Linked DNA regions of Lepisosteus oculatus. The protein of the gene in region 2 purifies or fractionates together with the protein of the main gene of each other region. This does not show direct contact. Links are inferred from orthologs where the notes say so. Each region holds a gene or a part of one and is shown on either strand. Other genes may lie near its edges.

Region 1 (7,746 bases), on a different chromosome or scaffold from region 2:
CAGAGGAGATCTGCACCTGGGTTCCGCCTTCATCCAGAAACACAAAGCGGGCGCAGAACTGGGAGCAAGGCGGCACCACAGCACGCGATCATCTCCGACGGCCAGCAGAACGAAAACACGAGGTTTAGAACGGGACCCAACGCCATCAAGCAGGGCGAGCGGATGATTCAGCCCGTGTTTGTGTTTCCATCTGTTTTTATTTGTCCTCTCCGCAGCTTGTAAGGTGGCAGCTGTTGAACAACTGGCTCCGGGGATCAAAACAGAGTTACATTAACACACACAGGGTTGAAGTGCAAATGCTGTTACCTGAGAAGGCCAAAAGAGTGAGGACAAGCCTAGGACTAAGGGATTGACTCTAACACTTCCTCGCACTCCTCTCTACTCAGTATCTCTCCCACCCAGAGCTGGGCAGGGCCTTGGCATTTGCAGGAGCTGGCTGCTGCAGTCTACACGTGAGAGCGCTGCCTTTTTATGCCTTCGACAAAAGCCTCACGTGTGCACTGAGTCTGATCAGAAAGCCGATTAGACAGCGTGGTACTGAAAGAGTTGACCTTCCCACGACAGCATTCTGGGAACGTGCTAGGAAACCGGAGTGGATGTATTTGCAGACAATGGACACCTCTTCTCTCCTCGCAATCAGGGAAACCTGAGGGCTCCAATCTGATAACTGAAAGGCCAGCCTCTGTCCATTATCATCTCCCCTGATTTAGTCTTCACACGGATTCTAGGGCTGTATCACGCATCTCGTATTATTTTTTTAGCTGATGCACTTATCCAAGATGATGTGCATACCAGACAATTGCTGGACTAAAAAACCCAACATACAGAATAAAGAGAAAGGCAATAACGAAGCACAATACAGAGGGTAAAGCCACAAAAGGTGCAGAAGTGAAAGAAATGCAGGGATGAATTGTAGACTCTTAAAGGTGAAACATGGGCAGGTGGGGCATGAAGAGGCACAGCAAGCTAGGAGAGAGGACAAGGACCTGCTGTGCAGCTGGCACCATTGGCGAGTACTGTACACACCCAGGGGTCTGGATTCTGCAAGAGGACAATCAAACTCCTGCATCACCCAGAGTTTAGCAATTCATTTTTGGCTCACAAAACCCCCTTTCTGCTGTGTAGAAACCGACACACTGCTGTGCCCTCACCTGATCCAGCCATGGTGCCTGTGAGCACAGAGGCTCAGGTTGAAGGCAGGCGAGCTGAGCTGAGCAACTGCAGCTGTCTTAATGAGAACCGCAGTGCAGGTCAGGAACACGCTGGAGGCCAATCTGGATGGCTGATGTTTTTTTTTTCCCTATTCCTGTCCCTCTCATCTATCTTTAAGGCACACTCTCTTTCTCTCGGCACGATGTAAACAGTGTGTATTTAAAGAATCTATTTCTGTTACCTGTGCTCTAATCAAGACCCACATGAATCCCATCTTCTGCAAGCTCTGCCCATTGTCTCCAGCACTGGCAGATGTGCTTGACATGTTTGGAGCCAACGTACTGTGGCCTTTTGATATTCAAATCTGCACACACAAGATATCCCCCTGTGCTGAACAGACATGTGTATCTATTGATCCTCCCAAACTGGGAATGAATAGACCATTTAGGAGGTTAAATAAGCAAATGATCCAAAGAGTCTTGAGAAGCACAAAAACATCCGGTCTGAATCTGGCAGACGCTGCCTCCTACGCACTGCACACTGTGCCAGGAGGATTGGAGGGGGTGAAGCTCAAATAGTCTGTTAATAGCTTCCATTCTTTATTTTTATTTATTTGAACATGTTATAGTTAATGAATAGCCAGAATGGTCCCAGCCCATGTGTATTATATCTACTGATAACGGGTGCCTGCATTCTTAAAAATAATCAAAGGTGTTTACAAAATAAACTTTGCTTTCCTTACCAATCATATGAAAGTAAAGTAATAGTAACATATACAGCAGTAAATGCAAGAACGTTGTGGAAAAGTCTTGCAGTGCACTATTAACTTTGTATTGTTCCTGTGTAATATTTTTCCTATCAAACATTGTTTGGACTGTAATAATATATTTGAATACTTAAAAATTGATCGCCTAAAATTAAGTAATCAATTAATTATTATTTAACTATTAGTTAATAATTATTTGATATTGCCACACAACAATATTTGGTGGAGTTTGCTTTTGGTACAGCAAGAGAACACGATTACGCTGACAAACAACATACAATATTAACAAATACACGTTGAAATTCAGAGACAAGCAAAACACAATCACATCATACGTAAACAGGTAGCAAAGTGAATTGTAAAAGAGATGTTCACAGGTGGCTAAATAGCTGAGGGGAAAGAGTCAAGGACTGTATAGCAGTGGGCCGGGAGCTAAGGTTGAAGCAGGCTCCCTATCCTTTCTGACAGTGCATGACGCTTTCAGATAGGCATATTTCCATAAACCCCTTTATTTTGACACCCCTTGTTGTAAAGCCCTCGATATCTCAGCAGAATCCTGAGACTTGAGTGATTTTAATGGACAGTACAGTCATCAGTGCAGAGTACATAGAGATGAAGCTAATTCATAGATGGGGATGGTCAAGGTCATGAATGATCAAGGCCTGGACACCAGAGTTACACCCCTACTCTTTTTGAGAAATACTGTGACCACAGAAGGTCAGGGTCATCTGAGCGATGGCACCTTTTTAAAAATAGAGTCCCCATTACTATACTGGGGCATTTGGATCCAAATGACTACAGGGTGAGCGCCCCCTGCTGGCCCCACTAACACCTCTTCCAGCAGCAGCCTTAGTTTTTCACAGGAGGTCTCCCACCCAGGTACTGACCAGGCTCACACCTGCGGAGCTTCAGTGAGCTGCAAATGGTGAACTGAAGGGTGATATAGCTAAATTGAATGGAGTGATATAACTAGGTGACCAATGTGGCCTTGAATTACAAAAAAAATACCGTAGTAAAAAAAACTACTGGATGTAACCCCTTTCGGCGATTATCTGCGACCGGGTGAAAGGACTTGCCAAAACGTTCTTAAACTTTAACGTTTCCAGGCACTCAGTGTCTTCGGAGAACTTGGGACACAGAGCCGTGACCCGCCTGCCACCGCCCTCTAGTGGTCAGAGTGTTCCAATACCATAAGTAACGCAAATCCCTTCTGTTCTTTTTAAATTGTTTTTTTTTCTTCTCATATATCATTGGATGTCACAAATACAATGTGTTAGATACGTTCCTGTAAGGCCCTCGGTCTGTATTTGCTACCTTTTATAGAAATATTTATTTTCATTCACCTCGATAATCAACAGTTTTCACACAGCACACAGCAACACACGGATTCGGTAGTTTTTTTTTAATTAGGGACTTTGTTTTTGAATTGAAAGGCTAATTCGCGTCCCGAATAATACACTTCCTTCCCTCTGCCACGACGGGCGATTTAACTACAGTACCGTTAATGATAACTTTTATAATCATATATATATACATGAATTGAGAGAAAATAGATCCTGTCGCTTAGGCAGACAGGATATCGCTTCCCCAACGGAGCTCTGAGGAAATGGAAGAATTTTCCGGGACAGGAGAAGATTGTCGTTATGCTCAAGCTAAGTAATTTGCGACCGATTAGAGGAAGTGTTGTCCTGAAAATACTCTTCCAAACAACCCAAGGTACGAGGAAAATCGGTGTCACTTTCATGTGACTCAGTTTTATTGTACTTCAGTGACTAATGTCCTTTTGGCATTCCCATTGTAATCCAATTAATAGCTTACCCAAAACTACGTGCTTCGTAATGGTTTTTCCTCCCAATAAACTCCGGTGGTCGTTGTTTTTCAAGTAACTGCCACATAGCAGCCCGACGACACACAGATTTTTAAGTGTGCCGATTAAAATGGGATAAAATATACCAGGAACTGGGAGGTGCAGGACTTTTTAAAAATAAATTTCGAGTTAGTGTTTACAGCGCACTGTAAAGGGTAAAAAAATAAATGGCATTTAATTGATTAAAATTCATTTTTAACACTCCACAGCGGAATACGGATACAGGAAAATGCTTAATGGTACAGTATTTGTGTGGTGGGCGTGGGGATGGAATTCACTTCTCGATCATTTTGATCCTCATAGAAGAACGATTACATATAAAGAATAACTCTTTATATCAACAATTACCCATTACTAGATACCTGGTTACAGAAGCTGTATAAGACAAGCCTGAAAATAAAATAAAAACATTAGACCAGAGTCACTAGAATATACTTACAGTCCTGTCAGATTTCAAACCAGTACTGGTGAGTTCTGCAAACCAGTATTTCCATACTCAAAAACAACAACAACAAGACTGCGTCTGGCGTTTCTGTGTAACCAGGGAGAAAGCAGCGTGCCCTCCTGCTGTTGTGTGTCTCGTCCGGGGGGGCTGTCAATAAAGCTGGTTCAAAAGCTCAGGGGGCATTTAAACTTGGGCGCTCCCATGCTGCCCTGCGGCGGGCAGGCTGGATTTCAAATCCTGCGGACCAATCACGGGCGGCGCCGTCGCTTTTAACGAACGGAGCTGGATTTGAAATGCTGTCGAGTCCACAAGGGCTGTATTGCCAGAGAAGGACACAGAGGGGGCTGGTAGAGACGGGCGTTGGAGGGGGGTTAGGACTGGCTGACAAACAAAATACACAGCGCTTTTTGCACACTTTTTTTTATTAACATTAAAGCGTCTCCGTATGAGTCTACATCGAGCCGATTGTCTTCTGCGGGGAAAAGTTTTGATTTGAATTTCTATGCGGCTCGGAGAAAGGGTAGTAGCTGTAAGACTTGGCCTGTGTCCGTTGGTTTGTAGTTTTGGATCTGCCTTTTTTTTAAAAAAAAATCGATATAAGTACAAGTCTCGGTAGGTTCTGTAAAGAGGGCTGAGGTTACATTAATATATTCAAACGCTTAACTTTCGAAATGAGCGCCGCCGCCGTAGCAGCGAAGGCGATGAAGCCGTCAGTGCAGGTTGACCCCAAGTCGGCCCCGCTAAAGGAGGTCCCCGATATTTTGGTGGACACCCGGACCAAGAAGAGGTACCTCCGGGGCCGGTTTCTGGGGAAGGGGGGGTTCGCGAAGTGCTACGAGATCACAGATATGGACACCAAGGAGGTCTTCGCTGGGAAGGTCGTCCCCAAGTCCATGTTACTGAAGCCGCATCAGAAAGAGAAAATGTCCATGGAAATCACGATCCACAAGAGCCTGAATAATGCCCACGTCGTCGGGTTTCACGGCTTTTTCGAGGACGAGGACTTCGTGTACGTGGTCCTGGAGATCTGCCGGAGACGGGTGAGTACTGTAACTGTCAGGTCGGGCCGAGCCCGGGCGGAGGAGAGGACAATCCGGCATTTCTGTAACCGAAAGGATGGGGTGGCGAGTTGTTAACCGACTGATGAAGCTGATGATAGTGGCGAGTTGTTCACCTGCTGTTTTAATAAGTTACATTTTTAGAGGAAAATGCTCGGTGTCCCATTTTGGTAACTTTCTAAAAAAACGGTTACCCGGAGATGAGTGGTTTTTAAGTGTGTGTGTGTGGGCGGCGGGGCGCACCCCCTCAGTACTGCAACCCCATTTTTTCTGCGAATGGAACCCGATTGCGCGTACGCCAGCCTTTTTTTTCCCCTCGGGTCGGGTGTTGCGCAGCCTCCCCCGGCCGTGCGCTTGCCTGGACTCGCATTGCCATGACGCTCCGAGCGCCTCCTGCAGTTCCTGTTCCTATGGAGTGTGGCTCCTGCCCGAGCTATTCCAGCGTGTCAAAGGGAACACCCCTCCCCTTCCCCCCAACAGACTCTAAATGTGCACCTTTTGGCTACCCTTGTATCCAAACTGTTTGGGAATGAGTGCAGTGATTACTTTCCCCCGCTGCGTAAAGATCAAATTTTTTTTTGGAGGCGTCTTACAACTTAATAGGAACAAGTAATAGGTTTATTCCGTGCTGAAAAGAGCAGAGAGGAAATGCAGCGTTTCGGGTGTGGAGCCTTCCTCACAGCTGAAGAAGGCTCCACAGCCGAAACGTTGTTTCCTTTCTTCTCTTTTCAGCACGGAATAAACCTATCACTTGTTCCTTTGCAGCCTATGCATGCTGATGCAGCTACCTAGCTGAACTACTTACAACTTGATAGGGTTGATTTGCTTTTGTACTTAAGTATTTCATCCCGTAATCTCCCCCATTTCTCCTGTTCAAGTTGTAAAACTTCCCTTCTGACACGTTTTTGCAGAGTCTGTACTTCTAACCTAATTGCATTTCTTTCACTGAGGTCTTTGAACATCTTTTTTTTCCCCACCCCTCCAGTCTCTGCTGGAGTTGCACAAGAGGAGGAAGGCGGTGACTGAGCCGGAGGCCCGGTATTATATGAGGCAGACTATTGTGGGGTGCCAGTACCTCCACAACAACAGAGTGATCCACAGAGATCTCAAGCTGGGGAACCTGTTTCTGAACGACGAGATGGAGGTCAAGATAGGTAATGCAGCTGGGCCTGCTCAGAAAACTGTTCTTCTGCCTGCAGAGACGAGCCAGGGGTTCTGTTTCGTAAAGATCTGGACTCGTGTCCAGGCACCAGTGAGGGGTGGGCAGTGATGTGGACTGGGGGTCTCCAGTCTAGAGGTAGGGGGTTTTTGGGGGATCCCTTTGGGTTTTGGAGCTGCGATGTTAGAAAATTGTCAGCTGACATTCATTTCGTGAAAAGGAATAATTCCTCAGACTTGTATAGCGCTTTTCTGGACAATCCACTTTACAGGTAATGGGAACTCCCCTCCACCTCCACCTCCACCAGTGTGCAGCCCCACCTGGATGATGTAACAGCAGCCATAGTGCGCCAGTATGCTCACCACACACCAGCTATTAGTGGGGAGGAGAACAGAGTAATGAAGCCAGTTCATAGAGGGGAATTAATTAGGAGGCCATGATTAATGAGGGCTAATGGGAAATTTGTCCAGGACGCCGGGGTTACACCCCTACTCTTTTTGAGAAACACCCTGGGATTTTTAATGACCACAGAGAGTCAGGACCTCGGTTTTACGTCTCATCCGAAGGACGGCGCCTGTTTACAGTATAGTGTCCCCGTCACTACACTGGGGCATTAGGACCCACACAGACCACTAACTGGCCCCACTAACGCCTCTTCCAGCAGCAACCTTAGTTGCTGATAGTTGAAATCCCGAGCCAAGAAACTGGCAAACCCTCGAAAACGTACTTTCCTTCCTGTTGCATCCGAGATGAACTGCTCACGTGCGCAGACTGGTCAAATGACATCAGTGCCTCTATGTGTTCCTCATGCTCTAGGCGTCAGCTCTGCATCCTGGCTCCCTGAGTCCATGCCTGCCTGTTTTTTTTTGCCCCCCTGCAGGCGATTTTGGCCTGGCCACGAAGATCGAGTACGATGGCGAGCGAAAGAAGACTCTGTGCGGCACGCCGAACTACATCGCCCCCGAGGTGCTGTGCAAGAAGGGCCACAGCTTTGAGGTGGACATCTGGTCACTGGGCTGCATCCTGTAAGCACTGGAGTTGGGGGGGCGGGGGTAGTTATTGAGCGTGTGTCAGCTAGAAGACTTGCGTTCTCCGGTGTGGTTTTGGACTGGACTGACCATATTGACTATTGGCTGTGCTGTCTACCAGAATGATCTGCCTGCTGTTAGTTAGTGCACCTCGCTGACTGACGAACCCGTCCCCCCCCTCTCTGTCCAGCTACACGCTGCTGGTGGGGAAGCCGCCCTTCGAGACCTCTTGCCTGAAGGAGACGTACATCCGCATCAAGAAGAACGAATA
Region 2 (8,156 bases):
TGGAACATTGTGAGACTGCTCCTTTGGGTATCTGGTCCATTTTTGTTTGACATCTATTCCAGTAGGGCACTCAAAAGTAAAACAGCGAAGGAGAACGAACTTGACCATGTACGTGTTTTCCATTGATTTTTTTTTTATATTGAACGAGACTCGATTTGTTATTCAATTAGATAAAAAGCTCTGAAAGGAGAAGGTTTGTTTTTCAGAGCTCAGGCTTGTCATTAGGGATGGGATATATCCCCCTCTTGAAAGGCAGAATGGCTTTGAACATTGTGGTTGCTATGGCTACATTGGGCACTAGAATACATTATGGTCAGGTTTCCTTTATTGCTACTGACACCTAATTGGGCTGTCATCACCTGCTAAAGATTGGCAAAGAATTACCAGTCTAAAAGTCAAAATATATTACTAAAGTTTTAAATCACTGAAAGACACAAAATAAGACTTTATCCAATCTTTCTCTCAATATTTAACCCCTTTATCCAATAAAGGGTCATGGGGGAGCTGGAGCCTATCCTGGCAAGCAATGGGTGCAAGGCGGGATACTCCCTGGACAGGACGCTAGTTGTTCTGTTGATATACAGGCATTATTGAATTGTCGTGTTAACAACTGAATGAGACAGAAAGACAGAACAAACGTAAATAGACAGAACTCTGCCATCAGCCACAAATGTCAGATTTTAAAATCAGACATTATAATAATAATAATAATAATAATGATAATAATAATAATAATAATAATTATTATTATTATTATTATTATTATTATTATTATTATTATTATTACTTTTCTTTATTGTACTCCTTTTGTTGTTGTTGTTGTTGAAGTAAAATTCATCCTTGGCTAGAAATCTGTTAAAATAGGATGACATGAGCCTGATCAGTAGTGCAGTGGGAGTGGTATTCTGTGACTCACTCCCTGCAGCTGTCTTCTTCCTGTGTTACAAGTGTCATTCCACAAAACCATTGTGCAGGACACCTGCTGGCTCTCTGATGCTTTTTCTGAGTCTCCGGACTAACATGCAGCCAATATTGTGGATAAAAGGATTGACCTAGTCTTCAAATGGACACTGTGGAGGGGAATTTCTAATGGTGTGTGTTAACGCCAAATCCCATCACAAGGCTGAAATGTATGTGAAAGGTGTGACAATGATGAGCATGCTTTTTGCGAGGTCAAAACTTACTGAGATAAATTCACAAAGTACTGTAGTTTATTCCAAAAACCTTTTTAGACCCATTTTCATCCATTCATCCATTTTCTAAAGCCCCTTTACATAACACAGTATCGCAGTGGAGTTGGAACCTATCCTTTAAGCAATAGGCACAAGCCAGGGTACACCCTGGATGGAACGCCAGTTAATTTACCCTATAGACTGTGGAAGGAAACCAGAGTACCTAGACAAAACGTATTAAAAACATAGGTTTCCATTAGACAAACTCCATTCAGAAAACACCCTAGAAATTTAACCAAGGGCCCCAGCACTGCAAGGTACCAATGCTAACCACTGTGCCACTTGCCACCCTAGCCACATGTTTCTATTTTTAAAGAATTTATATTTTTCTAATTTAAGTCATTTATTATACTTCAAATATTTTAATGTTAATGAAATATTGCAATATTTAAATTAATACCTGTCAATCTGTTCTGTAGACCTGCTGGATTGTGGCTCTTCAGTACCAGAGTTGGCCACCTAGAGCCTAGTCAGCATACCCTTAGAAGGTGAGAGGAAATTGAGAGAACATGCAAACTCTAGTAAAAGTAATGAGTCAGGAATCCAACTCAGCAGCCAAGAGCTGTAAAGCAGTAATATAAATATCTGCCACTCAGCTGTTCTGCTTATGAGCAAAATAATTAGCAAATATTGTTCTTACTACTACTTTTATTACTATTTCATTGTAATTTTTACATCACACTAAAGCTGACAAAATCAATAATGTCCTATTTTATAAATTGCCTTTCATATTGTTTTTCAGGCTGCTTATCCGGTATTGTTACAGCAATCTGCAAAAATATAACACTTGTTAACGTTGTTAGCATTGTAAAAATAATCTTCATACAGATTAGCATAATCTTTTATTAACGTTGATCTTATATGGTAAAATTGTGTTTTTACTGTTTGCTGGTTTTAAAAACGTCTCTCTATTGCCATCTGCCTGAGAAATGAGAGAAGTTCAGCAGGGACCATTTCCAATAGTTTTTAACAGAGGATTCTTTGGACCAGAGGATACAAAGCTGCCACTCTGCTGTCTCTGGGAATGGCTCAAAAATGCATCGTTCTGTTCTTGGGTGGCTATATGAAGACCCATTGCCACACATCCAGAATAGTTCCACTCTGCTGCTTCAGACAATCAAATTAGAAGTAAAATGTTGCAAAGTCTGTGGGGTCCGCTTCATGCTGATTAATAAATTACTGATTCCTAATTGCAATCAAAACATCTCTGAAATGACAGTGTGCAGACTGAGTTGTTACACTGAATGAAATTCACCCATAATAAGCACATGAATCATTTATTTAGCCACGGAAAATAATTTTATAGATTTATTGTGGTACTTTCTGTCATCACACTGGTTCTTGTATCAGCTTCCTTTTGGGTTAATATTTAGGATAAGCCTAGAACTACAGTAGGCTGGAAGTAAGAGCTTGGCTAGTTGGGAAGGGACTGGGGATAGAGCTGAATAAGGATCAGTATAAAGTTTAACACTTTGGCGTGTGTTCGGGTTTTTGTTATATTACAGTTATATTTAGTTTTCCATTAAACTAGGTTTTGTGGGATAGAAATAAAGATTAGGCAGGAGCGAGGATGACTTTTGTTTTGTTTTGTTTTAAAAGTTAGTTTCAAGGGTTAGGATTATTATTCATGTTACAAAATTGGCTAGGAATTCAAATTGATATTACAAATGATTTTACATTGGTAATATCAGACCAATGATTGCTTTTTGGAGGTCCTATATTAAATTAAACTTAATTCAATAGATAAGTTTATTTGTCCTACTACAGCTCCACCACCAGTAAAAAGAATGTTCTTGCTGACATTCTAAACTGATAGAAGTAAAATGGATTGGAGAAGTAAAACAGCTACAGTATTTCTGCTATCCTCTGTGCAGTTAAAGCTGAATATCTGAACATTTTAAGTTCTGAACAGAGACGATTACGAATGGACCTGATACAAGTATTCAAAATCTTCAAGGTCTTCGCCAAAGTCTATGTCAAATCTAAATCAACAATATTCCAACACTACCCAGAGACGACAAGTGGAAAATATGTGAGAGTGCATTTAAAACAGACAATAGGAGGCAGTGCTCCACACAAAAGGTTGTGGTGTTATCAAATAAGCTACCTGTTATCTTGTTGAAGCCGATATCTTGGCTTCCTTCCAAAAAAACAGCTCTATGACATCTGTGTAACAAAGGAACAGATAAAGGTTTATCCCATGCTGAAAGGGAAAGAAGTGATGCACCTGAAGAAGGTTCCACAATGATTGCTCTGTGTTGTGTCTCTTTTCTTTTTTTTTATTCTGCCATCCACTTGAAATTCTTGTAACACACTAGATGAGCAGAATTGCCTCCTCTTGCTTATGTTCTTATGTATCATGTGGCACAACTGTTTTTGGTTGTGTTGAGGCCACAAAATTGTACAGCTCCAGGTTTCTTCTCCAGAAAAGCTTTTTCTGAAAAGCGCCAGCAACACCATTCATCTTCAGGCATCTCTCAGCAGCTGCCTTCTACCTTTGGAGCATGGCTAGAAAAAAAACACAAGTTCAGCTCTTCCCCTGCAGCAGCAGTAATGTAACTCACGTGTGAACATGAAGAAGGGCGTCCTCAGGGTTTCTACTGATGGGTTCATTATGAATCTTCTTTCCTTGACTGAAAGGTTTCTTTAGAAAAATGTGTTTTGCATTGATTTTTCAACTACAGTCTGCATGAAAGATTATTAAAGATCAAGATACACTTAAAGGCAACAATACCCTCCACTACAGCCTCTCAGTGTCAGAAGTAATGGAAAAATCTTGAGTTTATTGAACTGCCATAACCCAAAAGCCAATACTTTTACATCTGCAGCTGTCACGCCCTCTGCAGCCAGAGGGCGCTCCTACTCTGTTCTGTCCCTAGTTTCCTATGCTTTGCTGTCCTTCCGGTGTCTCTCTTTCTTGGGCTATATATTTCCGGGTTTCTCATTCACCTTCGCTCAGCATTGATGTTCGGATGTCCTGAGACCCGCCTAGCATCCAGGTGGCCCCACATCCGCTGCCTGAGGGCATTGGTTTCTATACGACTCCTGAACTGCTGAGCCTGGGGTAATCTCCCATTCCGCTGCTACGCATATGGGTCTTTTTCTGTTCTCCCGCCTCTCCACGGTTCATCCCTTCCGACATCTGTGACAGCAGCCCTTTAGCACTAAATGAAATGTGGAGATTTCAATATGATATAGATAGCTCTCATGCAGCAGTTCACAATTACTGACCTGACAGAATACTGATAATTTGGTTTGACCATTTCCCTTGTATTTTTTTTATTTATTTTTTTTTGAGGGGGGGGGGGGGGGGGATATTTTAATAGCACTGCCCCTGCATGGTTCATATAAATAAAGTTGCTTCTGTTAGTGCAGAATTAAAGGTAAAAAAGACTTATGCATGAATTACATATATCCAACCACAACACATAAAACATTTTTGTTGAATACAGTTAAATATATAATGTTTTATTTCAAATACGGGTTCATAAATATATTTAACTTTTATGTTGTTGACATAAGTTATATTAATTAATTTATTAGATCGAATTAATACTTATTAATTTTTAGTCATTCATTAGTAATTCGCTTTTGCCTGCTATAATAATTCTGTTAACACCTCATCTCCTGTTTGTAATGTATTACAGTCCTGTGTAACTGCAGTTCTTGTACGCCATTTTGGCTCTTTAGAGCCGTGCTCTTGTTTTGTTTTTTAGTCAATGACGTCATGAGCCTAACCAGAAAAGGAAATTGCGTTTTCATGTTGTTTTCTCATTGGTCAGTCTTCTCTTAACCGGGGGAATTTTGAATTTGTTTGCAGGAGGAGCAAAGTATAGGATGTGTTTTAATGGTTTCTTTCACTAAAGTTTGTTAGACGGTTGCACACTTTTTAAAAGTAACTTAGACTCGCTTTAACCTTAACAAGTACAATGGCTGAAGATATCGCCTCTGCAAGTACAATGCAGGCTGAAACAAACGCTGGCATTCCAGAGTTGCAAATTAAGCCTGTAGCAAAATGTGACGAGGGAGCGGCTACGTCTCTAATACAAAATGAAATACAAGAAAAGATCGATTTGGAAACAGAAGTTGAAATGGAACCTGCTGGAATCGATCAGATGCCTGGTGAAATTCTGTATATAAAGCAAGGTAGGCCGTTGTTTGTTGTTCAGATATAAAATGTACAGCCTAAGATAATTTATAGAGTGAGAGGAGCGTCTCCTGTTTTTCGCTGAGGTTACCTTAGTAGTAATTGCAACATTCCAAAGTTAAAATCGATCATATTTAAACAGGTAAAGAGGTATTACCGAAGCTATTGCAGTTACTAATGCAATCAAATTCCGATTTTTTTTCAGCTCTGTATTTGAATATCTTTCGTTGTTAGCAACGAGCTTAAAAGCAATTTTGTGTATTACTGTCGGTCTAAGTTAAACTTTCAAACTTGAGGATTTGTCCAGAAACAGATCTCCCTTTGTTTAGAGTTTTTTGGTGAACCTCCTTGTTTTGATTGAAGGGAGAAGCACCGTTAATTTGGTCTAGATAAAAACTCTGAATTACATAGTGGGCATTCAAATACGACAAAGTGATGTTAACTTGACGCTGTTTAACCAAAAGATTCCCTTAAATCTTTCAAGTATTAAGTTTGATTGTTTTGTGTTTTCTTAGTTCTTTTTCAGGAAAATGATGAAGATGAAGATACCGAGGAAGATGATGACAGTTGTAGTGATTATGGCAGCAGTGACAAGCCAGGCACAGTTTTACAGAGGGCAGAATGCACAGGAAATGTTGCTTTCCCTGACATCTTCCAGACTAACCAGCTTCTGTTTTATGAGAGGTTTAAAGCTTATCAAGATTACATGCTAGGTAATTGCTTTCTATATTGACTGTTCTCACTTTGCACTATTGTTCCAAATTTCCCTTTGGTCTTTACCAATCATGGCCTCCTAATCCCCATCTAAGAATTGGCTTCATTACTCTGTTCTCCCCACTGAGAGCTGATGTGGGTTGAGTATATTGTGTGCACTTTGGCTGCTGTCGCATCATCTGGATGGGTGCTACACATTGGTGGTGGTGGAGGGGAGTCCCCACTATCTGTAAAGCTCTTTGAGTGGAGTGGCCAGATAAATGCTATATAAGTGTAAGGTACTATGCATATTTCTTCAGAAACCTTTTCATAAAATTGAGGGATGCACTGACAGATGTTGATACTTTATTTCAGGATTGCTTACAATCCATCCTTTATGAAAACCATGAAAAGGTCTCTTTGTTCTTAAAGGTCAAAACGGCACAGTTTTGGTCAGCAGATACTCACATTGGTTTAAAAATATTTAATCTTTATGAATACAGAGTTGTGTGGCACAGTGATATGGCACACAGTGTTGCTGCGTTTTCACAGATATTTGGTTCTGGAGTGGTGTGCTGACGGTTCTTTGTTTCAAAGGAGTTTCCTCCGGTCTTCCAAAGGCATGCTGAATTGGCATTTGTAAATTGCTCCACATACTTGCGCATATGTGTCCCGTGATGCACTGTGGTGCTGTGTGGGATGTAGCCCTGTCTTGTGCTTACAGGATGTTCTGGTTTGCTGTGACCCTCACCAGTAATACTTGGATGTCTGATAATGGATAGACAGATTGCAGAAATGAGTCCTAACAATGTGTGTTTTGGTTTCCCTGAAGGTGACTGTAAAACCTCAGAAGTTAGAGATTTTACTGCAGACTACTTGGAGAAGGTTCTGGAGCCCTGTGGCTGGCGTGCTGTGTGGAGCACAGAAGTGTTTGATGTACTGGTTGAGGTATGTCTGAATGCACCATCGTGGGCACCTTCTTCACCTTTGTTTATTGCAAAAGTACAGAGAGCTTGAGGCAATAGAACTGAAAGTCAACTCTTGTAACATCTTGTACAAAGCACTGACAGGAAAACAAATTCAGGCATTTTAGGTGTCTCTTAGAAGGGTTAGAATCTTTCAATACTATTGACCATTTGGGGCACAACTAAATTTACTTGCAGTTAAAGTAAGGTAATTCTAATTTGTCTTGTTTTTGATACACTTAGCTGCATTGTTTGCCACTCACGATTGGAGTGCAATTCAAAAATAGTTGTTTGGAATGTGCTACAGATCTATGGTTTCATGAGATCAGTAATGCTTTTTCTAAAAGAAGAAAATGGTAATGTTTCTCCCATTCCCAAAAAAATCACTCAACCTTATCTTGATTTTCATTTTATAATTTCATTTTTACTTTAATCATGCCTTCCTTGTCACAAGATGCTTTTCTTAAATCAGTGCACTGGTTTGTTCTGTTTTTAGATCTTTTTATGCATTCAGTTAGCTTTATATTTTAAAAAAGTCCGGGGAACAATTGGGAGGTGTTATGCAATGTTGCTAAAAGCTTTTTAATTTAATTCTGAGATTGGTGACTCAGAAGTCCTTTCTAACTGTCATTGCAGGTGGTGGATGTGGAGTGTTCCAGTCTGAAAGCCAGGGTGGAGCTGGTTCAGCCTCTCCTGTGTGAGAGAAAAGGCTGTGAGCTCACAGAGGAGTCCATGAGGGACCTGCTGGAGGCAAAAGAACATCAAGTGCCTTTGCAGGAACTCAGTGTTGTGTTTGATGAATCAGGGGAATTCGATCAAACAGCACTTGCTTTAGAGCACTTAAGGTAAATTATTTATGCATATTTAGAACTTGTTTTACTTAGCTGGAGAAAATCCAGACAGTCCTGACTTTGTTGTTCTGTACAGAGGTTTGAAGTGGAGAATGATGAATGTGGTTCTTGGAAAAGTGAAAGTTAATGAAAGCCTTGTGAATTTCCATGAAAACTTTTGTTGTATCTACAAACTGTTACCCCTTTTTGTAACCAGTGATCCTTATTATTCTGTAGTTTTGCTTTTGTTTTTTGTAGATCAGTAAGTGGTAGTGTTTCATTGGACTCC

What was found.
Region 1: the proteins of shcbp1 (region 2) and plk1 purify together in Homo sapiens (affinity purification with western blotting; 3 studies listed by BioGRID, with this or other methods). This does not show direct contact. The link is inferred for Lepisosteus oculatus from reciprocal best matches to the Homo sapiens genes SHCBP1 and PLK1.

The regions. Positions count from the first base shown.
Region 1 is NC_090714.1:12,120,449-12,128,194, forward strand, and holds the start of plk1 (serine/threonine-protein kinase PLK1), read left to right. Parts: upstream 1-4,492; 5' UTR 4,493-4,901; coding exon 4,902-5,270; intron 5,271-6,273; coding exon 6,274-6,442; intron 6,443-7,327; coding exon 7,328-7,472; intron 7,473-7,665; coding exon 7,666-7,746. UniProt on the Homo sapiens protein: Serine/threonine-protein kinase that performs several important functions throughout M phase of the cell cycle, including the regulation of centrosome maturation and spindle assembly, the removal of cohesins from chromosome arms, the inactivation of anaphase-promoting complex/cyclosome (APC/C) inhibitors, and the regulation of mitotic exit and cytokinesis.
Region 2 is NC_090715.1:6,687,511-6,695,666, reverse strand, and holds the start of shcbp1 (SHC SH2 domain-binding protein 1), read left to right. Parts: upstream 1-5,019; 5' UTR 5,020-5,161; coding exon 5,162-5,378; intron 5,379-5,894; coding exon 5,895-6,092; intron 6,093-6,904; coding exon 6,905-7,020; intron 7,021-7,673; coding exon 7,674-7,882; intron 7,883-8,156. UniProt on the Homo sapiens protein: May play a role in signaling pathways governing cellular proliferation, cell growth and differentiation. May be a component of a novel signaling pathway downstream of Shc. Acts as a positive regulator of FGF signaling in neural progenitor cells.